Rhinolophus ferrumequinum: one gene and its partner. The protein of the gene in region 2 interacts with the protein of the main gene of each other region in a pairwise test. Links are inferred from orthologs where the notes say so. Each region holds a gene or a part of one and is shown on either strand. Other genes may lie near its edges. The genes, in order: CBLL1 and CDH1.

Evidence for each region.
Region 1: the proteins of CDH1 (region 2) and CBLL1 interact in a two-hybrid assay, tested with the Homo sapiens proteins (2 studies listed by BioGRID, with this or other methods). The link is inferred for Rhinolophus ferrumequinum from reciprocal best matches to the Homo sapiens genes CDH1 and CBLL1.

The regions. Positions count from the first base shown.
Region 1 is NC_046303.1:50,830,514-50,846,860, forward strand, and holds the start of CBLL1 (E3 ubiquitin-protein ligase Hakai), read left to right. Parts: upstream 1-10,492; 5' UTR 10,493-10,715; coding exon 10,716-10,764; intron 10,765-10,814; exon of another isoform or gene 10,815-11,768; coding exon of another isoform or gene 11,769-11,781; intron 11,782-16,347. UniProt on the Homo sapiens protein: E3 ubiquitin-protein ligase that mediates ubiquitination of several tyrosine-phosphorylated Src substrates, including CDH1, CTTN and DOK1. Targets CDH1 for endocytosis and degradation.
Region 2 is NC_046298.1:18,069,783-18,085,848, reverse strand, and holds the start of CDH1 (cadherin-1), read right to left. Parts: upstream 7,500-16,066; 5' UTR 7,378-7,499; coding exon 7,324-7,377; intron 6,445-7,323; coding exon 6,330-6,444; intron 1-6,329.

The DNA of each region.
Region 1 (16,347 bases), on a different chromosome or scaffold from region 2:
ACAGGAGCTTTATGTCTTCACAGTTCTGGAAGCTGGAAGTCTGAGATTTGCGGGGTTAGGTTCTCGTGAGAGCTCTCTACAAGAAGGCAGCCTGGAAGAGTTCTTACCAGAAATGGACCTCAGTGCAAGTACCTTGGTGTCTCTTCTTATAAGGGCACTGATCCTATCATGAGGACCCCGCCCTCACGACCACATCTAACCCCGATTGTCTCCCAAAGGCCCCGTCTCCAAACACCATCACACTGGGGCTTAGGGCTTCATCATATGAAGTTTGGGGGGACACATTCGGTCCATAACACCAGATAGTTTAATTTCTTTTTACATTTATTTTTATTGCAGGGTCTGTCTAGAATTTTTCCAACTTTTCATTATATAGTGTTTTAAACACTAGAAAAGCTGAAAGGATGGGACAATAATACCTGGGTTCACTAATTGCCACAATTGCCTTATCTATGCTATATGCCTATTTAGCTAATTTTTTGTTGTTCAAAGTAGCTTTGTTCAAAGTATGCTGACATCATGATATTCTACCCTTAACTGTATCAGCATGCACCTCCTAACCAAAATACCGTTATTACACTTAAGAAAATAATTCCATTGTATCATCTTCTAGCCAATCTGTATTAAAATTTCCCAATATCTTTTAGAGCTATTTTCCCCTGAATTTGGATCCAATGAAGCTTCAAGCATTGCATTTGGTTGTTACAGCTCTTTAGTCTTGTTCATTTAGAAAAGTCCTCCTACCCTTTTTCCCCCATTACATTGATTTTTTGAAGAGACTAAGGTGTGGTAATGGCACTGTGACTTTATTATCTCTTAGAGATTTATACAGAAATATTTACAAATGAAATGGGTAAAATGCTTTTACAAAAATACAATGCATAATTGATTGTATTATGGCTTCGGATTTAATTTAAACTTCTTACTTGAGTGGAATCAGAAAGTTCATTGATTGCAGAAGTTAACATATTGCTACATGGTCATAATACAGGAAGACATTGTATGTTCATAATTCTAGAACTCTGCCTAAATTTACCATAGTTTTAAACTTATGTTCATTAATGGTTCAGCTCATCAAAATTTATGGATGAAAAATTTTTTAAATTCAAGTTTAAAAATGCAGAAAAATATAAGGATAAAATTGCAAGAATCACTCAAAATGAATCTATCCAGAAATAACGATTATTAACACCAAGTGAATAGTGAGGGGAGCAGAGTTTGCCACCCCAAACCACACCTTTTGGGGTATTACTTTAAGCTGGTGAATTTTAAAAAAAGCACAGGAACCACCGTAGACTTTCCCCCAACTGCCTAAAAGAACTGAGAGGACGCTTCATAGGAAGTAGCACGTGATAGACGGGGAGGAACCCAGCAAGGCCGCTTGATCCTAGTCCTCTGTTTCCCATGGGTACAGACGGCCAGCTAACATTTATTTATCAAACATCTGCTTTTCCATCTCCGTGTGAACTGCCTTCCTCTCCACTGACGACCCAAACCACAAAACCCTGTCCACCTCCATAGCTCAAGATGGCATGTAAGCCTTACCTACTCCCTCTGTCCTCAGATCTCATACTCTTATGAAATCCCCTCATGCACATCTGTAATAAATTTGGCCATTTTCTCCTGTTAATCTGTCTCATATTAATTTATTAGTCCTGTCAGAAGAATTTAGACACAGCATGTCCAGCTTTCTCTCTACAGCTACGTGGGCAGGTAAGCAGCAGTACTTTTACGACAGTAACGCGGTACTTACACTCAATACAAGGCCTTCGTGCCCATTCCTCGACCGGCCTCTGCTCTAGGAGTACTGCAAGGGGATAATCCCGATAGGCTGCATTTCCCTGGCTCCCAGGTCAGCGGCTATCTGGCTGGGGTCAATGAATGGGAGACGGGAGGGCAAGAGAAGGGGAGAATCCAGGGGTAGATTCTTCACAGAAGTTGTGTTTCTTCTGGCCCCGTGTTTCAGGTAACAGTGTTTTCTCCCTTTGTCCCTTCAGGCTAAGGGCTCAGTGTTTCTGGCTCTTACTCTAAGCACTGGGTTACCTCATTGTCATATCTGGCATCTTAGCTCCTCCATTACCTATACGACCAATTTCCTGCATTAAATTCCCTCCCCGAAAATAATCAACGTGGTTTCTAGTTAGACCCTCACTGCTCTATGATAGATGCTATTTTAATCGCAATATTCTACTTTTAATTAATTTTACTTGAATTTGATACAACAAAAGAACATGAGGTAGAAGATTTTTTTCTTTAACATGAAGGATATTACTTTCTAAGAGCACTTTCTAGGTTAAGGAAAGAATTATGAAAACCTCTCAGAAGTTAGAGTTGTTATTCTTAATGTTTTAAACTATTTTTCAATTTTAGACAGTAAATAAAGGTAGATGACTCATGAAAAATTAGTGCTCACATGCTGTCACCTCTCCACAAGTTTTTGGTTACACTATATTTATTTTGTTCAGGTTTATAACCTGAATGGTTCCATTCTGTAACCGTAATTTCCCTAGTTGCTCAGTATTAGTCAAGTTACATATTTAAACCAGTTGTATTTCACTAGAATGTAAGTTTCACACAGGCAAGGTGGATTATTTGCTTTGTTCACTGAGACATTTAAAATGACTACAAGAATGAGGAATTCCTGAGAAAGGGAGACTGGAGATGAATGCTGGGGACTTGTATGTCTGAAAATATCTCTAATCTACACTGAGACATCCAGGATGCTGGTATAGAATTCTAAATTGGAAATCACTTCTCATAATTTGGAAGGTACTGCTCAATTTTCTACCTTCTGCAATGCCTCGCTTCCTTTAGCTCAGCTCCATCCACTAGGGAGACTGCTTTGCCTTAGGCTTTTTTCAAGTTCATTAGTAACATTTTAAAATTTTCTAAAAAAGAAAATCCATTTGAAGTTAATTGGCCATTATGTTTTCTAATGTCCTTTACTCAAGAATAGCTTTTCCTACAACTTGGTACCAGGAAAATGTTTGCATCTCAGGGAAATTTCTATGCTATCTTTTCCGAGACAATAGGAATTAAGTAATCTACTGTGATTCATTTTTTTTGGTCTTGACTGTTAGTGTCCAATTCCATTAAACTCTCATACGATACATTCAATTCATTTGTATCCTCAGATGTTTAATAAATGTGCAGGAAAAGAAAAAAATAAAAATGACTATTGGGGAAACGTGGAAAATGACTAGAAGAGTGTCTGCTACTAATGAATAAGTTACCAGAGTTATTCACTCTTAGTTTTAAATTTTAATCTCTCTCCTTATTGGCTGGGTTTCATTGTCGTATATGTGCGTATGTGGAAACAAACACACACAAAGGGTTTTTTTTCTCACTCAAGAGAAGTTCAGACACGCTATGCTGTTTGAGGTCCTTCTTGTTTGAAGACGTGGGCTGTTGTCTTCTGGCATTAGATGTTCTTTGTTCATTTTTATCGAGTGAACTCTGAATGTTGGTGTTATAAGCTATCACTAATTCTTTACAATCCCAGTGGTCAATGCCCTCCTATCATAATTAGGTTTTTTTTATTGTAAGTTTTATCCATTCGTTTGCCATATTCATTTGTGTGCAGAAGTTTTAAATGTTTCTTTTTTTTTAAAGTTTTGACAGGGCCATATTATCTCTGCTGATGTTCTTCAGTAAGTCAACAAGTATTTTGTGAGCACCTTCTGCTAAATACTTCCATCCTCTGCTAAATACTGTGTATTATACAAACCTGGATGGCCAATGGACCCTGTCCTCAAGGAGCCTGTCTTGTAAAATAAGCATGTTACTACAATATGAAGTAGAGAGCGATGTCTTAAAAGAAACACAGTGCCTGGATGTTCTGAAGGGGCAGTAATTACCAAGAAGAATGAAGGAAATGACCAGTCATTGAAAAGCCTGTTATTTGGCAATGAAGAGTCTTCACAGATGTTGTCTCCTTTGATGATCAGGGCAACTCTGTAAGGAAAGTTATCATTATCCCCATGTACCAACACAGAAATTAAGCTTAATTGACAAATTATGACACAGGAAGAGTTGACATTTGAACCCAGTTCTGCCTGCTTCCAAACCTCATGCTCTTTATCTGTTACATATATTACCTGTTGCAAGAATGAGTCAGAGAAGGCTTGATGGAGAGAATGACATCTGAGGTCTGACCATTAAGTTCACAAACTCATCCTACCCTGTTTCCCTGAAAATAAGACCTAGCCAGACAATCAGCTCTAATGCGTCTTTTGGAGCAAAAATTAACATAAGACCCGGTCTTATTTTACTATAAATAGTAACAGTAAATATATATATTATACTATATATATATAAGACTGGGTCTTATATTAATTTTTGCTCCAAAAGACGCATTAGAGCAGATTGTCCGGCTAGGTCTTATTTTCAGGGAAACACGGTAGAAAAAGTGCTGCATACCTCCTTGCTGAATATCACTACGGTCATCTTTGAAGTACTCCCCTTGGGAAGCTACGCACTGACGCCAGTGCCTAGTCCACCCTTCAAAGCAATTTCGGAACTCTTTTTCTGGAATGGCCATCAGATCTGTCATCATATTACCCTTGATGTCCTGAATGTCATCAAAATGTCTTCCTTTCAATATTTCCTTTATCTTTGGGTAAAGAAAGAAGTCATTGGGGGCCAGACCAGGTGAGTAGGGAGGGTGTTCCAATACAGTTATTTGTTTACTGGCTAAAAACTCCCTCATAGACAGTGCTGTGTGAGCTGATACATTGTCGTGATGCAAGAGCCGTGAACTGTTAGTGAAAAGTTCACGTTGTCTTTTTCACACAGCCTTTTCAGCACTTCCAAGTAGTAAACTTGGTTAACTGTTTGTCCAGTTGATACAAATTCATAACGAACAATCTCTGATATCAAAAAAGGTTAGCAACATCGTTGCAACAAGTTGTTCCCAAACTTAATTATCAGACCTCCTGTGAGCAGGTGTCTTGATGGATACCATGTTTCCCCGAAAATTAAGACCAACCCCAAAAATAAACCTGTTAAGATCGTCAGCCAGACAGACACATTTATAGACACATTTAGTACATTATGACGATGTTCCAGAAGATGACATGACTGTATTTGAATAAATGTAGATTGTAAAATATGTAAAAATAAGACATGTAAAAATAAGACATCCCCTGAAAAGAAGCCCTAATGCGTCTTTTGGAGCAAAAATTAATATAACACCTGGTTTTATTTTGGGGAAATACAGTATAAGACCCAGTCTTATTTTCAGGGAAACATGGTAGGTATGTTTTCAGGTGGAAGTTAAGTATTGCAAATCTATGCGTAGTATTTTCCTCAACTGAGGTATGGGAGGGTATTAAATCTACTGTCAAGAAATGGTTTTTGTTCATTGGGAGACCCAGTTCACAGGTGGTAGCTATTACCAATTGCAGAAAAGAAACTCCAAAAAGACTTGTTCTTGAGTTTCCTGGTATTCTGTCGTACTAGGTATCTATTTTCTTCCTTATCATCCCTTTGCAGTCACACAGGATTAAGTCCTCCCAATGCGAAGATTTATCCTTCCTCTCAGACATTTCTAGAACAGCATAAGCTCTTCAAAACAACATGAGAGATATAAAGCAGTGCTTTTCAAACTTGAATTCCAAGACATTCGTGTACTTTATGACATCTGAGTGAGTCATAACCAGCTTTTTTTTTAAGGGACAGTACAGAAGAAAAACAGCAGAGAACATTATATATGCGGAGGGTAAGTACAGTTTCATGACACTTGTATGTATGTGTATGTGTGTGTTTGTGTTTATGTACTGGGCTACGACATAAAATATATTTCTGATAGTGAGAGACATTTAAACACTAACAGGGCCTATTTACAAACCAAGTATACCAGGAGAGCTGGAAAGCCGTCCTCCAACTGGCATGGAGTGGCCGCTGGGGCCAGGGTCAGCGAGCATGTGGACAACAGCCTTCTCACCTCTAGAAAACAGGTCGCAGACTGCTTGCTTACAAACATGGCATAGCTATAGAGCATTTTAATACCCGAAACATTCGTTCAGGAGTGAACTAAATAGAAATGTAGAGAGAAAAAAAATAAGGCAATTATCTCTTAGCAGAAAGGCTACAGGGAAGAGCAGACCTCTCCAGCTCAGAGGATCCCACTGCAAAACTTTCCTTCTCAGGAAGAAGGCAGGCTGCGGGGCCTCTCCAGACCAAAGGCTCCTGCCCACGGGGGTGTGACGCTGCCTCCGGGCTGCAAAGGGGGGAGTGGAGAAATGCCTTGCTCAGCAACGCACGGTGCTGCAGTCCTCAGCCTCTACTGCCTTCTCATTCCCCGGCTGTCTCTGGTCCACTTTCGTTTTTAAGATTCTTTTACATTAATTTTTCTTTCTTTTTCTTTTTTTTGTATTAGTTTCAGGTTTAAAAACAATGCAACAGTTAGACATTTCACCCCTCACAAAGTGATAACACCCTCCCCCAATCTACTACCCTTCTGACATCGTATGTATCTATTATAATTCCATTGGCTCCATTCCCTGTGCTGTACTCCACATCCCGTGACTATATATATATATATATATATATATGAAATTATAGTTGACATACAGTATTATTGAGCTTTAGTTTCAGGTGTACAGTGCAGTGATCAGGCATCTACACCATCCATGAAGTGGTCTTCCTAATAAGTGCCCATCTGCCACCCTACAAAATCTTTACATTATTGATTTATACCCCACAGCAATATTGTAGTTACCAATTTATGCTGTCTAATCCCTTCCCCTTCTCCATCACCCCCACCTCCTCCCATCCAGCAACCGTCAGTTTTGCCTCTGTATCTCTGAGACTGTTTCTGTTTACTTTGCTCATTCATTCAGTTCTTGTTCCACATGTAAGTGAGATCATCTGGCCCCGTTTTTGATGCTGGTGTTTGGAAAGCCAGCTGCTGTACTTGATAAGGCTTGGCTGTGGGAACACACTGGGGACCAGTGTCAGGAGCTGGTAGGCAGAGGAGGAAGCGGGGCCTGGCGGGGCTGGAGTTAAGCCTGCTAATCCAGTTGGAGAGCAGATCACTCTGCTGACTCCAATATGCAGAAGTCAAAGAGTCTTGGCTAGCTTTTCTCCCCCGGTGCCGAGCTGGGCCTGCAGGCTGTGGTGAGCTATGGACGCGGGTCTCTGTTCCGCAGGATGGGATTTGGTCAAGTTGTCAAAAATAAGGCTTACTTCAAGAGATGACGAGCGGGTAAAACTGATTACTATGCCTGGAAACGCTCGGTAATCCTGGATAAAAATAAGTACCACACACCCAAATACAGAATGAAAGTTCGTGTAACCAACAGAGGTATCATTTGTCAGACTGCTTACACCCGTATAGAAGGAGATATGATAGTTTGTACAGCTTACGCTCATGAACTCCCAAAGTACGGCGTGAAGGTTGGCCTGACAAATTATGCTGCTGCGTACTGTACTGGCCTGCTGCTGGCCTGCAGGCTTCTCAATGGGTCTGGCATGGACAAGCTCTGTGAAGGTCTTGTCCATCAGTCAGGAGGTGACTGGAGATGAATACAATGTGGAAAGCACTGCTGGTCAACCTGGTGCCTTCACCTGCTATTTGGATGCAGGGCTTGCCAGACTGGAAATAGACTGGAAATAGAATTTGGGGGGCCCTGAAGGGAGCTGTGGACAGAGGCTTGTCTGTCCCTCACAGTATCAAACGATTCCCTGGTTATGATTCAGAAAGCAGGGAATTCAGTGCAGAAGTACATGGGAAGCACCTCATGGGTTAGAACGTTGCAGATTATATGTGTCACCTAATGGAAGAAGATGAAGACGCTTACAAGAAGCAATTCTCTCAATACATAAAGAACGATGTGACTCCAGACATGATGGAGGAGTATAAGAAAGCTCATGCTGCTATATGAGAAAGTCCAGTCCATAAGAAGCCTAAGAAGGAAGTTAAAAAGAAGAGGTGGAACTGCCCCTAAATATCTCTTGCTCAGAAGATTTAGTGCAGAAGGCAAGCTTCCTCAGAGCTCAGGAACGGGCTGCTGAGAGTTAATAAACCAAAGAACTGTCCATGAAGATTTTTCATATAAAGACAATAATAAATGTATCTATTAAACAGCTAAAAAAAAAAAGTGTCTTGGTAAACACCAGGCTTGCTTTGTGTGTGCATCAGCAGGCTAACAGGTCCAAAAGGCCTTATTGTCCCTCTTCAAAGCTTACTTCCAATCCATTTTCATAGGCAATTATAATGAAATTGTAGCTAACATTTAACATTCATTTAATAATGTGCCAGCGCACTAGTTATCTCATTTAATCTCCACTATCACGTCAAGAAGCAGTGACTATAGTAACTATCCTGGTAACAATAAGTACCATTTAATGAGGACTCATTGTGTGCCAGAGGGTGATAAGCGCTTTAGACAGGTAACATTCAATTCTCACAACAAACCCCAAGGTAGGCACCATCACCGTCCCCATTTTACAGATGAAGGAAGTCAGCCACAACGATGAGGCATCTGCCTCCAGTGTCACAGCTGGTAGGTGGCAGTGCTGGGTTGGGAACCGTCGTTGGCTCCCAAGTGCATATATCTCCCTACCCTATTCCCCTGTCTTTCCCACGCATTTCTGCTTATGCAACCTGTCAGTGTATATGACACCATCCTGATCAGGTCTTCTCTTCTTAACATCTATCCACACTGTGGGCTTGGCCATCATCGGGTCCCTGGCTGCTTGGTCAGCTGCTCTTCTCCTACATGCATTGGTACTAATTCACCTTCTGCCTGTCCCCCCCACCCCCCCGCCCACATTTAAGATCTGCTCATTGTTTCTGACCATATCTTGCTGAATTATGTTGTTCATCTGACTATACTGTGCTAGGTTTTGTTTATATGCTCTTTCTTAACTATTACTCTGAAATCTTACTTTTCAAGGTTCTCTACAATCATACCTTATTTTATGTTTCACGACTTGCAAACATGGATCAATAGTGCAACTGGAACCGATGACTGTCTTCTATAGAAGCCGTGACAATTCTGACACCCTGTTTGCTGTGCCCCTCACGGCTCTGCTCCCTCAGGCCCAGCTCACGCCCCCCCACACAGCCCCTCTCCCTCACTCCCACCACTCATCTTTGCCTCTGCGTTGTAGGCAGTACTGCATTCCCGCAAACCACGTAGGATTTAATTCTACGTGTTTTTTGTTATTTCTATAACTGCTAGCCTGTGCGGTCCCTAAGGTAGGGACCATTATTTATACAGTTCTTACCTTCTGCTGTCTTAGGCACTACAGTGTGACAGAACTGAAAGAGCATTACGGAGATGACGGTTCTTGTCCTCACCTGGTATTGAGGAGCCTCAAACAAGCTCTTGGAAAACAAGCTGTCTGATACCCATCCTATTTTTCCTGTATCATAAACAGTGCTATGTAAATGGGGGACTATCAAAGCATCTTGAAGAACTGGCTTGTAATTCATAGGCTCGCAGATGGTCTGTCACTAGGATGAAAATGCGCACCTCAGTGCTCCAGATCGTCTATCACGATGTTCCATTTTTATGAACCTTAGGACAGTGCCATGCTATAAAATAAATGTGAATGTGGACTTTCAATAAAGAAATTGTGACATTACAGCACACAAGTCACCAACAATAGCTACCAAGCACAGTAATAAAATCTCAATCTATGTATAGTTTCACTTACCAGTTTAGTTAAGAGATTTACACTGCTGCACTGGTAAAGTGAAGCAACTACAGTTAAGGGAGAAATGAATATAGAGCATAAAGTAATGCATGAAAACAACAGATGTTAAATGAAATAATTCACCAAATGTTTAACATTTTATCAACAGGAAGTCTAAACAGGTGAGTTTTCCCTTAGTAAATTTTCATAACAATGCTGACAAAACTTCTGATTTAGATTATATAAAATAGTTTGAAAGTTCTTTTTTCTTCTAATTCTTTAAATATTAGCATCAGTAGACACTAATATTATTTTAAACCTGGATTTGCATCAATCTAAAGTATGGCCAATAGGCTAAATATGAGGATAGAAAAAATAAAAAGAGTACTTTCTAGGTGAAAACGACCTTTTTTTAAACCCCAAATTGGTGAAAAATGCTCGATCGTATCAACACTGTAAATAGGAAGTATGGGAGGAAGATTAAGCTTCTCCCAGCCTCCAAAACAAAAAATAAGGCCAGCAACTGAAAGCATCTTGAAAACCACATTTTAACAAAAGCAGGGGTAATCTTGATTCACAATTATCCTTCCTTGTGAAGGTCCTTAAAAACTTGTTCATGAAGTTGCAGATATAGTAGTGGGAGTGTCTTTTAAAGGATTCAAGTAAAACACTCACCAAATAACAGGGAACATATTATTCAAAGTTGTTACTGTATATCTATACAGATACAGCACATTGCTACACATACTTTATTTGGAATTCAGTACCATGAAAACATTTCTTGTAAGAGGTCAATGTAATCTCTTATTAATCAAGGAACTCTGGCACTGAAAGCGTGAATAACCCAAGGTAATGATGTCGTCACCAAGGGACGACAAGAATAGAACCCAAATCCCTTGACTCCCCAGCTTGTGTTTTCCACTAATTGTGCTCCTTTCTACCCATCAGAGGGTATCAAACGTAAAAGAGAAGGGAGTGGACACAAATGAGCCAAGCCCGAGAGGTGGAGACCGCACTGAAGGTCCTCAGGAATCACTCTTTGCCACTTTCCGTTGTTTTGGCCTAAGAAGATGAAAGCAGCAGCAGCCACAAACCCCTGGGACCAAGAACTGGAACTAGGTACTGCTTACTGTGGTAACTCTCTCTTCCTCCTTTGAGGCCTTTCCTTTTTAACCTCTCCCTTCCGGCCAGCCCTAACGCTCTCTCCACCTCCCCTCCTTCAGCTCCACGGTGCACTTTATTGACCGGCGTCCCCTAGAAACAGGCGGCTGCGCTGCACTCGCTCTCCACCTGACCCTGCACCCAGTCCTTCGGACATATGTTCTGGCTGTTCCTAGAGGCAGAAGCTTTTAGGCTAGAAAAGGAGTGCTACTCAAGCATTCTAAATGTGTCGCAACTGTTAGAAACTTAAGAGGCGGGAACGGGGACAAATACCAAGTCGGTTGTGCGTGGGTCTATGTAGCTCGTCGCGGCAAAGCGACCTTTAGACAATAAGCACAGCGCCCTTCTCTCTAGCTGGGAGCTTCACACAGCTCACCCATCCCCTGGGCTAGCTCCGCCGGAGGACGCCTAGGGGAGCGCGCGTGTTTACACTTTTCCTAGACCCGGGGAGGGGACAGCCGCTCTGGGACCTGGGGGATTCCAAACCGTTACTCCGCCTGCCGGGGTGGGGCCGCCCAACGGCCGAGCCTGCGCACTGGGCCTGGCCTCTCCAGGGCTCCGGTGCACTTCAAGTCCCAGAAGTCAACGCTCAGCGGGGGCGGGCATCCGCCTACCTGCCGGGAGCTTATCCCTCCAGCTACTACCGCTCTCCCCCTCCCCGGTTCCCGTCCGTCTCCTTTCCAGTCAAAGGCTACTTTCTCTCGAAGCATGTGAGGAGAGGCCGTAGCAACCCCGACATCGAAGGCCTTAGCCTACTCGCTCTTTCTTCCTCAGCCCGAACTATGCCTAATTCGCTTACCGGAGTTGGGTGGTGTGAGCCAGGAAAGGAAGCCCTCGGAAGCCAAAGCCGGGGCAACCTAATGGCACTTCCGCCTCCCGGGCTCCGGAAGGTAGCGCGCACGCGCTCCCTGCGACTCCGGCGCAGTTGACTTCCGTTCCCACTGTGCTCTGCGAGCCGAATCATGGATCACACTGGTAAGGAGGCGGAGGCAGTGGGGGTCCCGGTTCCATGCCCCCTTGGCCGGCCTGGGACTGGTCTCCTAGCGGACATAGAGGGGTTACGCTCGCCCTACATTACTGGGGTGTAGCGGTGAGAAAGAAATCTTACAGACCCCTCCCCCTGCCCGGCAAGGGCCTGCTACTTCCCGGCCTACTCTCCGGTGTGGTACCTCCAGCCGCGGTGCCGGCAACGGCCGCTTATCTGGTTCTGCTGAGCCCCGAGCCGGGACGGCGGGCGGCGCGGGCCTTGTGCGGAGATCTCGCTCTCTCTCTCTCTCTTTCTCTTTCTCATTCTGAGGGCTATGCCCTACATTACGGGAACTAGGGGGAGATTCCCGTTTCGGAGACGGGGAAGCCTTATTACGCTGGGAGTGGATTTGCGAGAGTGGGTTGGAGACGTTCTGCTGTCTCAGGCAGCTTTGGGCGGGTGCTGCGGTGGTCAGCGTCTGTGGTCATTGTCTCTCCCGTCCTTTATGGACTAGAGGTGGGAGAAGGGAGTCGGGTTGGTTTTCGGAATGATGCTCGGAGCAGCTTTTCTATCGAAACCCCGCGCTTCGGCTATGGCCCTTACTCATCATTTGGGGACATTTACAAAGGAGAACTTAAAATCAAGACATTCACATCTCTTTCTCAAAGTAAGGATGGCTCCACTCTTTGTTACGTGTTTTTTTGGTTTAGCTTGCTGGGTTTTTGGATATTGAATGAGTGCACTTGGGATTAGAAAGTGCTTCGTATAGTTACATTAACCACATCGCAAATAGGGAAAAAAGGCGTTTTCCTGTAGTAAGTACTTGTTGGGATGTCCTCAATCATCAAATACCTGTCTATCTGTCTGTCTGTATTTTTCTCTATCTCCAAAACTTGCAGGCCTGGAGATGGAATGGTAAACAAGGCAGAGTTACTGTCATGGAGGTTACGATCTATTGGGGAAGACACAATAAATTTTTTTTAAAGCCCAAATGTTTACAAGTTATGATAAGTTCTTTGAAAACAAACATGCTGTGGTAAAGACTAATACGACGCTTCAGAGAGGGTGGTAGGGAAGGTCTTTCTCTAAAGGTAGCATTAACAACTTGAGATCTGATGGATGAGAAGAATCCAGCCATGGAATAGATCAGGAGGAAAGCATATTCAGCAAGTACAAAGAATGAAGTGGGAAATTAGTCGGCTGCAGCTTAGTTATTAGCAAGAAGGAAAGAGCTCTAATACGAGATTGGAAAGGAGGGCAGGAATCAGGTCGTGCAAGACTTTGAAGGCCATGTTAAAGATTCAAATTTATTTTATGTGCAATATGAAGCCATTGAACAGAAGTAGAAGAGGAGCATAGTATCTTAAAAATATAATAGGTTCTATGGAGAAGGGTGTAAGAGAGGGTGGCAAGAATAATAGAAAATAGACAATTTAGGAGGTAATTGCAGTAAACCAGAAGGCAGGCTTGGCTTAGTGAAGAACCGGAGTGGACAGAGTCAATAAATATTTTGGTGGTGGAACTTAAACCCACACTGATAGATTAGTTTGGAGAAATGTAAGAGAAAGAGAGATGCCTAAGTTACTGGTTTCATCAGCTAGGCAGTGCCTATTACTGAGTTGGGGAAAACTTGGGAGAAAAACATTTTTTAAAGGGGTAAAAGGTGATTGGTGGGCATTTGGGAACAAGATTTTGGACTGCTAAGTATGAAATGTATATTGAGATATGCAAGGAGAGATGTCATGTGGAGATCAGAGAAAGAGGTGGGCTGAAAAATACATATTTGGGACTTAGCATCACATACCTGATATTTTAAGGCAAGAGGATGGACAAGATCACTTAAGGAGAGGGAATACAGAAGAGGGTCTAGAACCAGGCTCTAAGGAACTCTATGTTTGGAAATTTTATAGACTTGAAACTAGGATATTGATGTTAGAGTAGCAGACATCCAACATTAGCGAAATATTTCTTTTTGAGCCTATTAACTGGAAATGGGAGTAAGGCCCCACTCACAGTTTAGAGAATGTTCTTAGGAAATTGTAATATGGGTGGGTGTATACCTGAGTATTTGGTATCCTAGTTCTCTTAAGTTAAAAAAAGTAAGTTAAAAATGTAAAAGTTATCCTAACATGAAAATATTCACTCATGACCTGACCATTTAAAAATTATCTCCTACTCAGATATCTCTGCGGCTTAACACTAGTTTCTTTTCTGTTAGTTAATTTTGTTACATCCTTGATGTTTCATATCAGGAAACTATCAAATGCTGTATATAAATTGTGATTACAAGCTTTACAAAAGATTCAGCTTTTCATGTAATTTATAAAAGTGAATTTGAATAATTATTTAAATAATTATTTGAATCACAGAATCATTGGCAAGTGAGGAAATGCCAGTTAGCCAGTTAATTGAAGACATGACAGGATAGGCATCTCACAGGAATGATTTTAATGTCAAAGGATTAAGAGAAGTCCTTGAGGAAACTGACAAAACCCTCGAATATTATGCAAAAATGACTGATTTTTCTGATCATGTTGAAAAAGTGAAACATATGGAAGGTTAGCCTGTGGTATTCGAATAGAATTTTGCCAGCAAAATCACTCCAAGAAACTGCCAGTTAACACTTGATTTACTTTTTGGTCATTCTAAGAATTAGCACTTAGCTGTCACTGTAATCTAAATTTTCTAAATTATTTTTTGGTTCCTTTAATTCAAGATAAAATTCTAAATATTTTTAAAAATTATATAATAGTGTTATTCCTTTTTAAAGTGGATTCACCTTAAAAGGCCAGTTATATCCTTCGTTCTCTTTCTTTGTAATATCTAAGGACTTTTGTGGTTTTAGTTGGCGTTTTCAAAAGGAAATTGCTGTAATTTCTGATTCTTAAACCAGAAAACCCAAGACAGACCCAGAATTGATGTCATTATTACATGTTGTACTTTGTTGATGGATTTGCAGTCTGTAAGACAGGCGGCAAGGTGTGTAAGGGGCAGCAGGCTCTTGAAAGTTGTGTTGGGTTAAGCAAACAACAGTGGTGATAGTGACTTCAAGTGCTCAGGGTGGTGTGAAAAGGGTTTGGAGTGATGACATGTTGGTATTCTGATCATTCGCCAAGGGAACTCCATTAAGAGTCTCTTTAATATCTGAAGTGCAGCATTGAACTGTTAACTGTCTACAAGAACTTGATTTTTTTTTCTTTAGTCCATTGGAAAATCAGAAATAACTTTAAGCAAAAACCAAAAATTCATTCTATCATACTTGTCTTTTGGCTATTACATTGCTTGTAGGTACTTACGTAAGCAACTAAAGTGAAAGCAGATGAAATACATCCTCAACTTGTTAGTACAGTTAGTGAAGTCTTGAAAATTATCAAGTTGGGTTTGTCTTAATTGATTTTAGCTGTGCATGTCATCCCTTTTCCACGAATTTTGTCTTGAGTATTAGCTATTGTAAAAGCAGTAGTAGAAAGTAGACTGAAAGGTATTTAATTATTCAGGACCCATTTTGAATGATGTTCTGTATATTGTTCAGAAAGAGTGCAAATCATCATGTGAATTTAATGTGTGTTTGTAATCCTGGTCGCTCTGGAGGTCATTAGTACTAGGTTACTACTTCCAGACTTGGCTTTACTGACTTTAATGTAGACAGCTTGGCTCTCAATCTTGGTTGGACTATCTCCCCCAGTAGCAGTTACACAGCCTGTTCAATCACTTGTGATGTTTAAAACATTACTATTTGAAAAAATTATTTTATTTGCATTTCCTCCTTTATGGCATTTCCCTTTCTGTCTTTAGTAGGTAGGTAAAGGTGAAAATTTTCTATATTGTAATATTTTGTCATAGACTTGAAAAAAGGTGACTTTTAAACTTCAGATGGAGTAAGTTCTTTGAAATAATACTATTTATTACTCATGGGCTATCAGTTAATTTATTTCATAGTCAATAACAAGCAGGGACTTAGAAAGTGTAAATTGTTTATACCTAGTTGAAGTACAGAAACTTTGCATCTTCCTAAATTATAATTTTCCGTTACAGTGCTGACTAAAACTAGCAGTCACATGTACATCTAGAAATGTTATTGCGTGTTTGTACTACTAAATGATGTGATAATTTTTACTATGTTCCTAAAATGTTTTTTAGAAAAACTATTTTACACTTAAGGGAATAATCTCCTTCCTTAAAACTAACTTTAATTTCAATGCATTTACTTAGTTTTACCACTGTCAGTGTTAGTTTTGTGTTTTTAGTTTTATTGATTGTCCTGATGTAGAATCAGTTTACTAAATGTATTGAGTGCCTACTTTGCGTGCTTGATGGAGATAGGGATGGTTTCCTTTTTCTTCTCGTCCCTCTTTTTCTTCTTTTAAAAATCTCTTAGTTACTGTATTTTGCCATGTATAATGTGCTCCTGTGTGTAATGCGCACCCATGTTTTTGACCCAAACTTTCAGGGAAAAAAATTTTCTGTTTTAATTTTTTAATTCAAATTTTTATTTGTTTACATTTAGGTACTTGTTTTTTGTATTATAAAGGAATTTTAGCATTTATTTTTTAGCATTATGTTACAAGAAATTT
Region 2 (16,066 bases):
GAAAGGCAATATCTGTCAAAATTACAAATGCACGTACCCTAATCCGGCAGACCCACCTGTGGAAATTTATCTTCTGTAAAAACACCAGAACATGTGCCAAAGGATCTACAAATATACTACGTTATTCCCTGCAGGGCTGTTTCCTAAATGATAGGACATAACCCAGTGTCTATCTGAGGGTGGGTTAAACAGACTACGGCACATCTATAGCTACCGAGTTTCCCTGAAAATAAGACCTAGCGGGACAATCAGTCCTAATGCATCTTTTGGTGCAAAAATTAATGCAAGACCTGGTCTTATGTTAGATAAGACCGGGTCTTATATTATAGTAAAATAAGACCAGTCTTATATTAATTTTTGCTCCAAAAGATGCATTAGAGTTGATGGTCCAGCTAGGTCTTATTTTCGGGGAAACATGGTATGACAAAAGTAAAAAGAATGCGGACGTTCTATATTGTTGGGAAACAAAAGAAGGTATAGAACAGTGTTATCTTATGCTACTCTTTGTGTAAAAAGACTATTAAATTTCCGCTTGCATAAATAAATGAGACTCTTTCTGTATTTCCAAAAGAAAACTCTGAAACAGATACACAAAAGACCAATAAAATCAGTTACCTGTAAGGAACTAACTGGTTACCTGTGCCCTGGGGAAGACCTGGGTGAAGGTGGAATGAGATGGAAAGGAGAGTTTTTCCCTTTTAAACCAAGTGCATGATTTGCCTACTTAAATAGAAAGAGAAACTCTATTACCATGTTTCCCCGAAAATAAGACCTAATCGGAAAATAAGCCCTAGAATGATTTTTCAGGATGACATCCCCTGAACATAAGCCCTAATGTGTCTTTTGGAGCAAAAATTAATATTAAGACCCGGTCTTATTTTCAGGGAAACACCTGTAGGCTGAAGTCCAAGGCTGAGCCCTGGCCTACAGAGGTACCCCTCCTCCTATAAGCAACCTTCCCTTGTTCCAGAAGGCACAGTGCCAGGCTGACTCCACTATGCCCTGCTACACTTCTGGGCACCCCATTTCCTCTTCCTAGAGAGTCCTTTCCCCTTCTCTGCCCAGCTGACATTATACCTTCTCATTCACCAAGGCCTAGCAGGTAAAACCGCTCCCACCCCAGGGACAACTCAGAGTGTACTAGAATTAATCACTGGGCACTTTAGTTCATAGAGTTTCTGGAATTTCCCTGAGGGCAGGAGCTGGGTCTTAAGCTAGTGGAGAGAAGTTTGTGCACTGGCTATTTCTCTCTAGACCCCCCTATTCCCACCCCATGCACGCTCCACTTTGTCCCATAGAGCTCTCTTTCGTTGGCATGGCAGAACAACCAGCCTTACCCCCGCTTCTCCATGAAGGGTGCCCTTGGATCCCTGGCCTCAGGGTGACAACCAGATACCCACACCCTGGCTGGCACCATGTATTTACGCATTATACATCTGTGACCTAGCTGCTCGAGCTGTCCATTACCACGTCCAGAACCCCACCCTCAGTGAATTAGCGGCAGGAATACAAATCTGTGTTTTTGAAGTACCCCAAGTGATTCGATGCTTAGAAATGTGAGTGACCCAGTCCCAGGGGTTGAGGCAGAGCATTTTGGCAATGGAAAATCAGACCGGTATCCTTAAGCATGTGCATTATGAAATACTTTTAAAAACCAAACAGAAGCTGAAACATTTAAGGTCATCCTGACTTCCCCACCTTTGGTTGCTCCTTGTCCATTCCTCCCACAATTCTAAACAATGTTTATGAACAGGTCCACAGGCAAACCCACGTCGGCCCACCCTAAACACACTGCACAGTGGCAAGCAAGAAAATACCAGAATTTCCTTTCCTAGCAAAGAGTACTATGGTATAGTCACTGTTTGCACAGTAGTGTTTGCTTTAACACAGAAGCAGAGAGAGTGAGGAAACTGGTTTGGCTGGTTTGCTGGGCGGGATAGAACACAGGGAGGGAGCAAGCACAGGTAAACTTTTGAACCAAACGGTAAGAAGGCTCCAAATATGCCAGGGGCTTTAACGTTTAATATTCATTGAGCACTTGACATACCCTATGACTTGGGTACTATTCTGCCCATTTTACAGATGGCAAAACTGAGGTTTTGAAAGTCCTTGGCCAGTATTCTTCAGCTGGCAAGGGACATTACCTGTATTTCAATCTACGCAGTCTGACTCAAGAACCTTCTAAACATTGGGAAGATGCCACCTGGGCCTTGGGGGAATGTGGAGGACTGGAGGTAGATTAAGAAGGGAAGAGGAAAACTGCAGAAAGAGAGGGAATCTAAAGCCCTCCCAACAGTAACAAGCATAAGCTGAGAATATAAATGGGAAACTTAGAAACAGAGAGGAAAACAGAAAGGGCACCACAAATTTCTTTTTAATTGACCAAAGATGAAAAACACTAACTGACTAACTGCTCTTCCATTTCCAGATTCGGATGTGAGGTCTCCTTTCTCTGCCCTCTGCAGCTTTCAGAGGGAAGCACTCAGTACACTGAGTTCCTGGGACACACTTATTGCCCCATTCCAAAAGCCACAGACCCAACTCTTCCCTGCCCATTTATAGTCAACGTCTAAGGCTGGCCTGAGGCCAGAGTAGGAAAAAGATAAGCCAAGGTATGAGGAATAGTAAATATTTATTCATTCATTCATTAATGTGTTCAAAATGATATCTGAGTGCTTACTCTGTCCTTAAGAAATTCGAGCCACCATGTAGTGACTCTATCTTATTTCTTTATATCTGTCCCACTTGCCTTAACATTCAGCCTACATCCGCTTTATTCATTACTGTAGTCCCAGCGGCTAGCCCAGTTCTGGCACTCAGTAGGCACTCACATATGTTGACTAAATGAATGAATGAATATGCACATTTAACAACAAACCTGTAAGTATTACTGCCTCCCATTTTACACATGGGGAAACTGAGGCTCATAAGCAGTAAAGTGATTTACCCAAGGCCACACAGCTAGTAGCTGAAATCCAAACCTGGATCTTTCAGGTGCTTACTCACAGAACTATCCTGATCAGCCATATTGATTTCATTCCTCTCCTTGAAAGCCTAAAGCCCTGAGAGGAGATGGGAGTTGAGGCAGAGTGGAAACCCAGAAAGTCTGGATTGTGACAGGTGCCTCTCGGGGACTTTAGGGCTTTGGCAGCTTCTGGGAGATGTGAAAGCTGATTGCTTCAGCGTCTGGCTTATCTGGGGCTACGCTTGGAAGGGAATGTGTAACAGACACCAAGGTGAGCATTTCGGAAGAAAAGCCTTGCTCAATAAAAAGCCCCGGAGAGCAAACAAGGATTTCCATCACCACCTGGCAGAGAGGTAGGGCAGGAGCAGCAGCCAGCCTTCCTTAAATGGCCTTGCAGGGCTCGACTCCTTGTGGGACACAAAGGCCGGGTCAGGATGACCCAGTAGTCTCCTTCCCCAGTGAGCTCGGCATAACCCTTGTCACAGAAGTGAGTAATCGGGGAAGCAGTGGTTCAGAGTTTGAGCAGTGGGGGAGTGGGGATCTGATGATGTAAGGTCATCCCAAAGCTGTTTTCCGTGTTTGTTTTGTTTTTTAAAGCCCAGTTTAATTAGGGGGCAAATACTTGTTTCCACCACCTTTCAGCACATCATTTAGAAAGAAGGGGAAATGGGTGTATTTAATCCTCACAGGTGGGTTCCTGTGAGCTAGATCAATCCATCAAGCAGCCAGAGCTCAGACCCAAAATATAAGCTCGGTTTGCCCAAGGCCAGGTGGCAGAGGCAGTAAAGCAAGGAAACCATGGGTTTCAAAGCCTGCTGCCCTTTTTTCCCACCACCCTCCACAGTCAACTTAAAATTGAGTGCAATATATGAGATGCGAAACTGTCTAATAGCCTGGGTTGCTCAAACCAGTTTGTACTGAGAAAAAGGAAAATAATCAGAAACTGAAGATGTTTTTGTTTTTAAAACATTCTCTGTTCTAGAACCTGGAAAAAAACCAACGCGGTAAATACAGGAATCTCACGGAGCACAGGAATGACCCCAGCAAACTACCCCAAGGTCCCTGAATTCAGCCAAATCCTATTTGTGACACTCTATGGTCACTGGTGGACAAAAAGTGACAGGTTCCTTGTTTTCAAACTCCCATGCAGCAAATTCTCCACAGAGCCAATGTTTAAACCCGGTACTAATGTGGCATACCTCCATCTTTCTGGACTGTCCAAAGAGAGTAAGGTCGCTTCCCCCAGAGGTTGCCTGTGTGATTTTACCAGACGGATACTTCCGTCCTGTGGCAATTCCACACTGGATTGGTTGAAGGCGACCCTGTAGTCCAAATAGCCCTCCAAAAGTGAAATGTCAGAAAATCACTGAGTGGGTGTGGGTCTGTGGACATAAAGGGAACGGGAACCGGTCACACAAGCAGTTTCTGGAGACCGCGTCTCCAACCAAGACCACCAGTTGCAGGCCCCCCCCCACCTCCCACCTGGCCTGACCCATCTCCATCACCACCACCTCCTCCTTGGGGTCCTGCCCTGTCGACACCTCTGCTCTTCCAGACATACAGGGAGGAAGACATCTATTTCACAATGGACACCAATTCCCCAGGCAGCCTCTTTTTTTTTTTTTTTTTTTTTTGAGATTACTGAGGAGGGGAGAAAGCAGGAGAAAGACCAGCTGTGGTTCCCTGAGCAACTTACTAAATTGCTTTATGCTTCAGTTTCCTCATCTGCAAAATAGAAATAACAATGGTGCCCACCCTTATAAGGTTCTTGGGAAGATTAAATAAGGTAAAATATGTGACGCACTTGCCCCAGCGTCCAGTTCAAAAGCGAATAATGGTAATAATTATATTATTAATAGGTAATACGATTATTGGTCAGATGTAAAAGCTTGGGTGTGGGGGATAAAAACCGGACTAACTCTCCCTTGGTGCTACCAAATGCCTTGGCGCAGGAAAACAAGAGTGACCAGCACTTGTGTGGGGACACTCCCATTTCTAACCCCTGACCTGCTCTTCAAAGGTGGGTCAACTTTTTATCCTCCCAGAAGCCAATCTTCACAGCCCACTGATACCCATTCAAAACATCCCAAATACCTAACTGCCCATGTCCCACTATGCCCTTGAAGTGAGTCCTAGAACATTCTCAGCAACCTGCCAGAACATGCAATACCGAGGGCAGGACTGGAATGTCCCTGTATGTCAGTTCATTCCCAAGTGCCCAGCACAGGGCCGGGCAGAACATCAAGAGAGAGGCCAAAGAACGGTGGACCCACTGCAAAATCAGGCAGACAACACTTCCTTTCTGACCCAACAGAAAGCTCCACACAACACAGGCCTCAGAAAAGCAAACGTTTAATCAATCAAGGTTCAGTTTCTGTTTTTAAAAAAAAAAAAAAAAAAGCCGCCCACTGTTAGAACTTCCAGAGTTGGAAAACATTTTTCAGACAATAGTGTGATTGGAACAGATTTTTCACGTGGCCAAAGACTGGAAGAATACACAGTGAATTCCCTCAGGGAAATAGTGGGTGATTTTTTTATTTGTTTGTTTCGCAAGTGTTTCCTTTATTGTTATGATAACTCGCTCAATCAACTAAAATCAAAAGGGAGGAGAAAGTGGTTTGGTAGGAAATAAGCACCTGGGAATCAGTGAAACCAGAAAAGAAACCAACCTGCCCTTGCCCTCACTCCTGGGCCACAGTGAAGTAAAACAAAGCAAACTCTAGAATTCTGATTATCACAGCGATAAGGCCCAGAAGTACATTTGTGTTACGTTTTCATTCCCTGAGTCAGAGCTACCAGGTTTTTTTTAAAAACTATTATTCCTTTGGGAAATAGTACCTGTATCAAAATGTTGTCATCTCTATGAGCAAAAGCCAGAGCCTGATAACTGAGAGGGCTCCTCAGTCATCCCAGAGTTGTTGCAGAATGGGGCCTGGGAGAGATGCTAGTGCAAATTCCCACGAAACTGACCCTGAGCAAGTGGACTCCACCCTCTGAGCCTTCCTTTGCTCATCTGTTAAATAAGAATTACCACTTCCCTCCTGCCCTTCCCACATATTAGGTTTGTGCAGTCTGAAACGACAACCTCTAACGTGGTCAGGACACTAGGAAACACACTGAAGGCTCTAATAAGCATCCTCCCCCCCCCAACATAATTAACCGCACCAGGATAGCCCCTTCAACCACAGTGCTCAATCATGATAAAGTTTAGATTCCTACATGTGTGTAAATTCTAAAGGTGTCATTTGAACCACGGAAGAAGGGGCTTGCCCAATCCAGCCCAGGGGAATGGGAGCACAATTTCTCGGATCCTTCCCACTCCCTCCCACCACCCGGCTCCGGGACCCCGGCGGCGCGCCCTCACCTCTGCCCAAGAGTCGGCCTCTCTCCAAGTGCCGCCGGGGCACCGTGAACGTGTAACTTTCAGCGCCAAAGCCAGGACGGCAGGGCTCTGGCTCCTGGCAGAACCATGATGAGACCTGGGGTAGGGGAAAGGTATGGAACCGGGGTGACCTGGGGGGTCCCTCCCAGCCCACACCGAAACCGACAACACCGCTCCTCCCTAGCTCCCGGCGTCGAGATTGTGGGAGGGACCCACCTCCACTCCCCTCCACCCCGTCGGCAGGCAGCCACGCCAAACTCAATCTGAGACCTGCGGCAGCCAAGCCCCCAGGAACGCCGGGGAGAGGAGCCTGCTGGGTCACCTCCTTTCGACCTAGCACCCCATTTCCTTCCCGTCTCCTTTTCCGTTTCACTGGAGCTATCTTTATTCTTCCCAATTCCCCTTTCCTTACACCGGGAACGTTCCCACTCCTAAATCTAGTTCCTCATACCGAAGGCGCTCCAACACCTTTTGACCCCACTTTCTTATCCCGAGGGCGCCCCCATACCTATTTACTACCTTTTCTTTACCTGGTAGTTACCTTTATTTCTATTCCCCTTTCCTTACTTCAGGGATCGTCCCCACTACTTCTGGCTCTCCCTGGACTTGCACCCGTGCTCCCCTTTTCCCCATCCCGACCGCCACCCTGCGCCACCGACTGCCCATACCGCGGCCAACCCGGAGTCCCTAGAGCCTGCAGCGAGGCGCGCCCCCACCTCAGGTCCCCTCGGGGCACTGAGCAAACCGCGCTAGTTCCTCACCCGCTCCCGCTCCCACTCCCATCTCCGCTGAGTCCAGAGCGCCACGCAGCTTCCAGGCCGCTCAGGCTCTTTGGACCCAAACTTTCTTGGAAGAAAAGGGAGCGCGGACGACAGGAGAGAGGAAGGGAGGACAAGAGAGGAAGGAACTTAGGGGCCGGGTCGCGGAAGGTGGGGCCGGAAGGCGTCCCCCGCAAAGCCAGAGGGACACGACGTACCTGCAGCAGTAGCAGCAGCAGGAGCGCGGACAGGCAGCGACACGGAGGGCCCATGGCGGGCCGAGCGCGGGTCGGGTCGGGTCCGGCGGAGCTGGACGGGGCTGGTCTGGCAGAAGTTCCGCGAACACACAGGTGCTTTGCGGCTCTGGACGCCAGTGAGGGGGGCAGCGCCTCAGCCGCCAGGTGAGCCTCGAAGGCCCCGCCCCCGGCCCCGCTGATTGGCTGAGGATGCACCTGCCGGCTGCAGCCAATGAACGATGCGGCTCGGTCCCAGCTTCCTCTGCAGGCAGGGAATGAACGGCCCGCCCCCGATCCCGCCCCGCTGCCTCGCGACCCGGCAACCCGCAGGCGCAGCGGTTGTTAGAATCAGGGTTGCGTGCAGGGGCTCCAGGATTTCGATTACCACCAGGTTCGCGTCCCGGCCTCGCGGTGGGTGCACACTAGCACCTGGGCTTTATCCTTTATCTAGTTCTTTTTAACTGCAGCTCTCCACCGGTTTGTGAGTCTGCAAATCAGTTCATTGGGCAGCACCCACCTTTCTAAGCCTGTTTCTCCATCTTCCAAATGAGATTAATCACAAATGCCTCCCTAAATTGTTGTGACGTTGACATACAATTAAAAGACCAATATTTCCTCACCATAAAAGCTCTGTACAGATGTGAATGATGATAGTAACAATAGATGCTGGGCATTGCAAGTTACTGTACCACGCTCTGTGCTAAGCATTTGACATTGGCCATCTCATTTAATCTCGCCTCCAAACAACCCAAGAGCTTTGTTATTAAACCCATTTGATAGACAGACAACTGAGGCATAAAGAATTTGAGGCCAGTAGGAAATGCTGGAGGGCAGGAACCCAACCTCCTGATTCCAGGGCCATTTCTTCTATTAGCTTCACCTCATGTGGCCCTGGATAGTCTTCAAGCTGCAGCTGTAGTTTTCAATCTGTCCTGTAAATGGTGACCTGCCAGAGACCCTTTAGAGATCATTCAAACGTATTATTTGCAAATAACTATCAATGTCCCATAGCAAGTCAACGTCAAAGCCAAGACTAGAACCCAAGATCTCCTGATCCCCAGACTGGGGCTCTTACCACACCATAGCCACCACTTCCTTTTCTAGAGAATTCTATCCCCAGTAAAATAATTTTAGGATCCAAAACAAAAAAAAAAAGGTATGCAAATGTTAGGTCGGACATCATCCCTGTCTGACTGCCAGGGGCCAGCCGCATCTATGTGTTTTGCCTACCCTGACAAGGATACCATCTTTCCCTTCACTCCGCAAGCATGGTCGGAACTGCAAAACAGTGTGTGGAGTCAGCTGCTCACTAGCTGTGACCTTGGGCAAGTCCATGTTATCATCAGTACAAATGTGTTGAGAGGAGCTGATGCAAGAAAGTCACTAAACGGAGTACTTGGCATCTAGTAGCAACTAACTGCTCAATAGATGTTTAATGTGGAGGTCGTTCTTTGGAAACGACTACCTCCTTTCCCCTTCCTCATGGGGAAAGGTCATGTTTAGAATATTCCATCCAGAGCTAAAGGTAAATCTGAGTCCACTGAAGCTACTTTCTCAACCCCAGAGGAGAGGCGGTGTCTCAAACCAAGACACTATTTCGGGTCAGCTCTGCCCCTCCCCCCTAACCTGTCCCTTCAGTTTTAATGGGTTTCTGAGCACACGCCCAGACCATTTAGATTTCTGCATCTTGTCTTTCTCTGCCTCTTAACCCACCAGGAGGCTCAAAGGGAAAAGGCTCCAGTATTTCCTTTCCCACTGAGGCTCCTGCTGGACTGTGCATTAAACAAGATAATGGAAATACAGAAAGAGGCGTTTCCCCCATGGGGCAGCCTTGTCCGTTTATTTTTTTTCTCCCAGTTATGTAAAAATACATATTTTATACCATCGCTCATCCCAGGGAGCCTTTAGGGCTTTGCTTTCCTCCGTCCAGCAAGCCCTAGCCTTGTAACTCCGCAGCGACTCTCATCGACTCTTCCATTACACTCTGATAATTCAATAAAAAGGATTTTAGAAAACAATTAGGGGCAGTGAGGACAGGTTGGGAGAGACGTTCTCTTCAGACTTCTCGGCAAGTCCTTCTCTAAGCTCCAGGGATTTGGCCGTGAAGGGCTGCCCTCTTTCAGCTGTCCAGGTGAGGAGGGGACACACAGAGGTGCCCTGTGGAGGTGCGGCATTGTGTGACTGTGGGCCTCAGTTTCCTCTTCCATCAAAAAAAGGAAATGCCAATTCTGAGGATCAAATGAGCAGGCGAAGATGAGCCTGTGCTGCTGATGTTGAGCTCTGCGGCTGATGGCGTTGGGTCTCAGGCTGATGGAGGATTCAAATTCCTGTTCTGCCACTAGCTGGGGAGCATGTCCCTTGACCTCTTCAAGTCTGTTTCCTCATCCATAAAACGGGGATGTTGATAGCATTTAATTCACAAGGTTCTTATAAGTGCCCTAAAGTTAGCTGTTAGCACTCTTGGCTCAGTACATTCCTTTCCTTTACCAGTTCTCAGCAAAATTGTGAGCCCTCCTGAAGCCTCCCCACCCCCAGGCTCTCCATTCCCCACCCCCCACCATCAAAGTCTCTTAGGCTACCTCTGGCCTCTGCTGAGAAAACTTTCACACTGACTGGTTAGTCATTTCAACCCTCCCAGGGTCATCTGCATTTTAAAGAGGGTTCTGAGGTGTGCTTCTTTCAAAGAATGAAAACTCTGGAGCTAGTAAACTTCGCCCAGGGTTCTTAACCTGGTGTCGGTGGATGGACTGAGGGTGGGGGTGGGGGGGTCGTGGAACCCCTGAGATTATATGCAATCTTGTCAGTGCAGGTGCTGAGGTCCAATGCCTTCATTAGCGTCTCAACTGGAGTTAAGAAAAATCAAAACCTTCGAGTTGAGATCTCTTTGAGGGCCCGTCTAATGTTAATGGTAGAATTTCAGGCATCAACAGGAGAAAGAAATGTTCACCAGAGTCCTTGCCAGTTGCCCCTCCAGGTAGATGACAGAGCCCACCACTGGTGCTAACCGGGCATCCACCCTTGGGATGACAAACTCCAGGTTTCTTTATTGCAGGCTGTGTCTCTGATGGACGTTCACTTCCTGGATGTCCCGGCAACTGGTCAGCCAGGGATTAAATGATTAATTCCCTGGTCCCTTTCATCTCCTGGCAAAAGGCGGTAATAATAGTACCCTGACTGGGTGGGGCACCCCTGCCCCAGGCTCTGCTGAGAGGAACCCAACCCCCCAGCCCTGCTGGGAGGAATCCTAGGGAAATTGGAGTTGTTAGGGGTTGTAGCCAGATCAGGCTCACTGCAGTGTTGGGAGAGGAGAATCCATTCTACCTGTTCCTGGGGGCTCCTCACACCTCTGCTGGGCTGGGCTGCCTGCCAACAGGCAGGGGAGGGAACTGGATATTCTGCTTCTGCCCTCTGACAAAATGATGGCAACTGATAGGGGTGCCGCCCTTTATGGCTCAGCCGCTCCCGTCTGCAAAAAAACTGTTTTATTTCAAACACTAAGTAAAGAAAACAGTCAAGTGTATATCATGTGTAGTGTAATGAAACACCATGTATCTATCATCTAGCTCCAACAGTTATTTTTTTGTAATTTACATATTTTTATAATTTGTAAACTTTGTAATTGTACCAAATCTTGTTTCATCGTTTCACCCCTGCATTTTTAAAAAATTAATCCTATTTTTTGAAGAGCTGTGCTAGGTTCACAGAAAATTGGAGAGGAAGGTACAGAGATTTCCTATGTACCCCTTGCCCCACACATACATAGCCTCCCCCCTTCAGAGAGGTACATTTGTTAGAATTGATGAACCTATATTGACACATCATAATCACCCAAAGTGCATAGTTTACATTACGATTCATTCTTGATGTTGTACATTCTATAGATTTGGACAAACGTATGACATGTATCCACCATTACAGTGCCAACAGAGTCTCTTCACTACCCTAAAAATCCTCTCTGCTCCACCTGCCTGTTCATCCCTCCCGCCCCCCCGACTCACGTAAACCTCTGATCTTTTTACTGTGGCCATACTTTTGCCTTTTCCAGAATGCCATAGCGTTGGAATCATAAGGTATGTAGACTTTTCACTTAGTAGTATGCATTTAAGTTTCCGCCACGTCTTTTCGTGACTTGATAGCTCATTACTTTCCAAAGCATCATATCAGGAAGCAAGGAATTGTCTGGTTGACTCTATTAGAATAACTAAGTTTCAGTTGGTGTCAACTGATCCCTCCATTATCAAGTTCTCCACCAGCCTTTCACCTTGTGGTTTTAGTACCGCAGATGATGGCTGTCCAGATCCATTAGCTCACTGGGCAAACAACAAACATTTATTAAGCACCTCCATGGGCCAGGCACCCTGCTTAACACTGGGGACACCGAAATAAAATATGGTCCCTGCCCTTAAGCAGCTCATAGGTAGTGAGAGATGCAGACAGGTAAACATTCACCCATTTATTTATTAAATATTATCAATTGCAGACTATGTAACAGGCATTGTGCTAAATACCAGTAATTGCAATATACTGTGTAATAAAAATGATAGCTACCATTTATTGGAGCTTACCATACTCTATATGGCTTCTCAAGAGTCCTCATACAGCCCTTTGAGTGCTATTACTACAACCATTTTACAGATTTGGAAGCAGGGGCTCAGAGAGGTAAAGAGATTTGTCCAGGGTAACACAGTAAAAGTGACAGAATTGGAATTTGAACCCAGGGCCACTGGCCTCCAAAGACTCTTAATCTCCATGTTATACTGCTAAGGTCAGAGCAGGCTTTTATTTCCAGATGCCAATTTGAACTGAGAGGCAAACTGCTTCACTTAGCAAGAAATGGTCTGTCCAGTTGACCTGAAATTGCAGACTCCAAGGCAGCCAAGAGAAGGTGACAGGAGCACAGGCTGAGATGCTATTGTTCAGCCAGGCTGGAGCTTCCAGTATAGCAAGGGGTGCGGTGGGGAGTGCTGATGAGAGCTGGAACCAGGGGGGCAGGCCCTGGGCTGGACCATTTGGTCCTCCAGCCGACAGAGCAGAAGGTACTTTTGCCCATTTTCCAGAGGAGGGGACTGAGGCTCAGATCGATGAACAGCCAGGTCATGGCAGAGGTAGTGTGGAGGCCGGTGCTCAGGTCCAAGGCCAGTATAGTTAAACAGTTCCCAGCATGGACAGTGGTGCCTCACTGCCTGGGTCTTAATCCTGCTCCTCCACTTGCTAGTTCTAAGCTTTTGAACAAGTCACTTAAACCCTCTTTGGACCTCAATTGCCTCATCTGTACAAATGGGGATAATAATAGCACCTACATTGTTGCATGATTTCCAGAATTAAGTGAAATAACCTAAGTAAATGCGACAGACACGAAGTGCTAAATAAATATTAACTGTTATTATTTTCACATTCCATGATGCTCAGGGGTTAGGGCTTTCCCTGAGTGGACTCCATGGGCAGCAGGCTCCCTCTGGCCTAACTCACCCTCTGCTAAGCCCACTGAGAGGGGCGGAGCCTGCTGCCATGGAGCTCCACGGCTGACTGAGTGCCTTCTCTTTGCACAGACACCTTTGTACCTGGTGACTCAATAAAGACAGATAAGGTGCTGCAGAATAGCTGTCGGGCCCCACAGATCTGTCGCTTCCTGTTTCCCACCTGTGAGCAGTGACGGTCCCACCCTTCCTCTCAGAGCCAAGGACACTGTCCACAGGGGAAGGGGAGATAAAGCTTACCTCCAGGTTTGACAAGGCCAACCTTCTCCTGGCTCAACAGCCAATGAAATCACTCCCTACCAAATTCAGCCTCTCCCAAGTCAAAGATACTTGGAAACAAAGGGCTTTTACTTTTTATAATCATGATATTGTTTTATTTTCTTAGTTGATGCCCTTGAATCCTTAATGTGAAGGCTTCACAGTTTAATTTCCCTTTAAAAAGGAAATTTGGAGCTAACACAATGTATTTATCAAATTCCAGGAGGTGTCTAGAACACAGGGTAGGGGCTTGATCTCGTGACTTGAAGCAAAATATCTTTCCTTCCCTAAGTCTCAGTTTCCGGTCTGTAAAATGACTCACTTGGTCTGGAAGGATCATTTCGTTTTCTTCTGCCTCTAAAAACTCTTGATTTTGAGCTTCTTGAGAGGGGAACCGTGTCACTGGCCAGGTTCAGATTTCCTTCTCTTAGGGGCCAAGAGTTCTCATGTGAGTAATATTTACGGATTTGTGATGCTGTTTATTGCTTTTCAGTTTTTAGACTCAACCTCCAGACAAAGCACAAAAGACTTATAGTTACAGAAAACAGAAATATGAATAATTATAACTAGTAAAAATTGGGAATTGCTTGAGAAGGAAGCTGAGAAGCTTGATAAGGACCTTATATCCTCATTCTCCAACAGTATTTCTCTGGAGAAGGAAATTTGGGGTGAGTGGTGAGTTCACAATTATTCATTATAACTAATATATGTGATATACGTATACTCCTTTTATTTCAAATATTGTATCTTTAAAAGATAAAGAAAAATCAATAAGGGCAAAAGAAAATTGAAGATACAAGGAATAAAAGAACTAGATATAGCAAAAATAAAAAATTATTAAAAAAAAAAAGTTTGGTCTCTTCCGCCACAAGTGCAAACTTGTTGTAACTATGGTGAGCATTGAACCCTTTCTGGAAATATCTAAAATAGATTGAGGTGGGGTGGGGGTTAGCAAAGCAAAGGAATGAAGTTCTGATACCTGCTACAGCATGGATGACCCTTGAAAACATTGTGCTAAGTGAAAGAAGCCAGACTCAAAAGACCACATATTATATGAGTCCACTTCATGAAATTTCCAGAATAGGCAAATCTATAAAGACAGAAAGTAGATTAGTGGTTGCCTTGGGCTGGTCAGGATTGGGGAGTAGGAAGGAAATTGGGAATGACTGCTAACGTGTATGGGACTTCTTTTAGAGAGCGATGAATATGTCCTAAACTTAGATTGTGGTGAGGCGTGCACAACCTTATGCATATACTAAAAAATACTGAATTGAGTGCTTTAAATGGGTAAATAGTGCAGTTTATGAATTTTATCAGAATAAAGCTATTTTCTTCTTTAAGTGAGGAGGGAGGTCTTGCTAAGAACAGTCTTAGGAGAGGGCTGACTTTTGTAGCCTTATGCTTCCCACTGTTTTTGTTTCACAAATGGCAAAATCTAGAAACTTTTCTTCCATGCACATATATAATTACACAACAAAAACAACAACAGTAACAATGGCTCTCATTTATATAACACTCAGGTGGCACTTTGCCTTTTATGAGCATATGTACCTCTGAGGAAGACATTATCCCATCCTCTTGAGGAAACCGAGAGGTAACATGATTTTCCATGGCTGGGAAGTGGTCGAGCTGTGGCAAACCCACCATGTGCCAGGCCCTGCACTCAGCACGGGCAAGCCAGACATCCATCCGAAGACCACCCATGTCCATGAAGAATGACCCAACCGACCCAGTGCTAGGGTGACCAATCATCCCCACCTGCCAGGGGCAGAGAGGGTTCCTGGAGTGTAGGATTTTCAGTGCTAAAAGCGGGAAAGTCCTGGGAACACTGGGATGAGCTAGTCCCCTTACCAGTCAGTGGGCGGGGTTAACTGTCCTCTCCTGTGCACGAGTGTGTGTGTGTATAGTGTGCTCACCCATCTGTGGGTTCGTGAGAGGAGTGCGTCTTGATCTTCCCAGGTTCAGCAGTGCTCAGTGAAAGTCCAAGTTTTGTAGGAGGGGAGGGTGGAGCTGGCCAGGCTGGAGCCAGAAGGGCAGGTGAAAGGTACATCCTGCAAGGGTGGAAACCTACAGAGCAATAAAACCAGGGCAAAGAGCAAGGTTTCCATCACAAGCCTTGAAGAAAACTCAAGTCCAGACTGAGGATGGGGGGAGCCTATCATTTTCCAGAGTGACTCTCCAACTTTTCATTCACTCACTCATTCATCCATCCATTCATTCGGTAAACACTCTATGGGCACCTAGTGTGTGCCAAGTGCTTTGCTAGTGAGGGAGGAGCCTCCCTGCCCTCAAGGACCTTTTGGTCTGATGGAATAAACAGGCAAGGGAACCAGGTATTTACAATCCAGAGAAATAAGCAAGGAGGCTATTAACAATATTTACCTGGTAGAGCCTGGGCACGGGGCCAATCAAAATGAACACCAGCCATTACGACCAGAGCAGGATCCCCAGGTCCTCTACTGTGCTTCACCCTTTTGTTTGCTGGGTGGTGGGGAGGTTTGGGGTTCATGTGAGAGGCTATAGGTTTGGGGAGCACTTGAGGGGCTCAGGGAAACAGCTGATTACCAACTGATATGGAAATTTTTCAATACAGTATTTTAGCAACTAGAATAGCCATATCAGTGACCCTGGTTGGAGACCAGCCCTGGTGATGATTCGAGATTAACAAGCCATGTGATGGGCAGGCACACGGGGCTCAGGGAAGGCTTCCTGGGGAAAGTGACACCTCAGATGAGTAGCCAGAGTGTTCCTGGCAGAGGGAGGAGGGCTTAGCATTTCGGGTCGTTCAGTCTCGCTGGAAGGAGAGGCAGGAGATTGGACCCAACAGGCAGGTAAGGAACGTGCTGGGGGAGTGGAGGACTGTGTTAATCATGATCAGCAGCTTGGACTGTGTCCTTAGAGAATGGGGAGCATGGGGAGCCACTGCAGGATTTTAATTAAGATCAGGGAGACACTTGATCCAGTCTGCAAATCCCCCAGGGGACAGACAC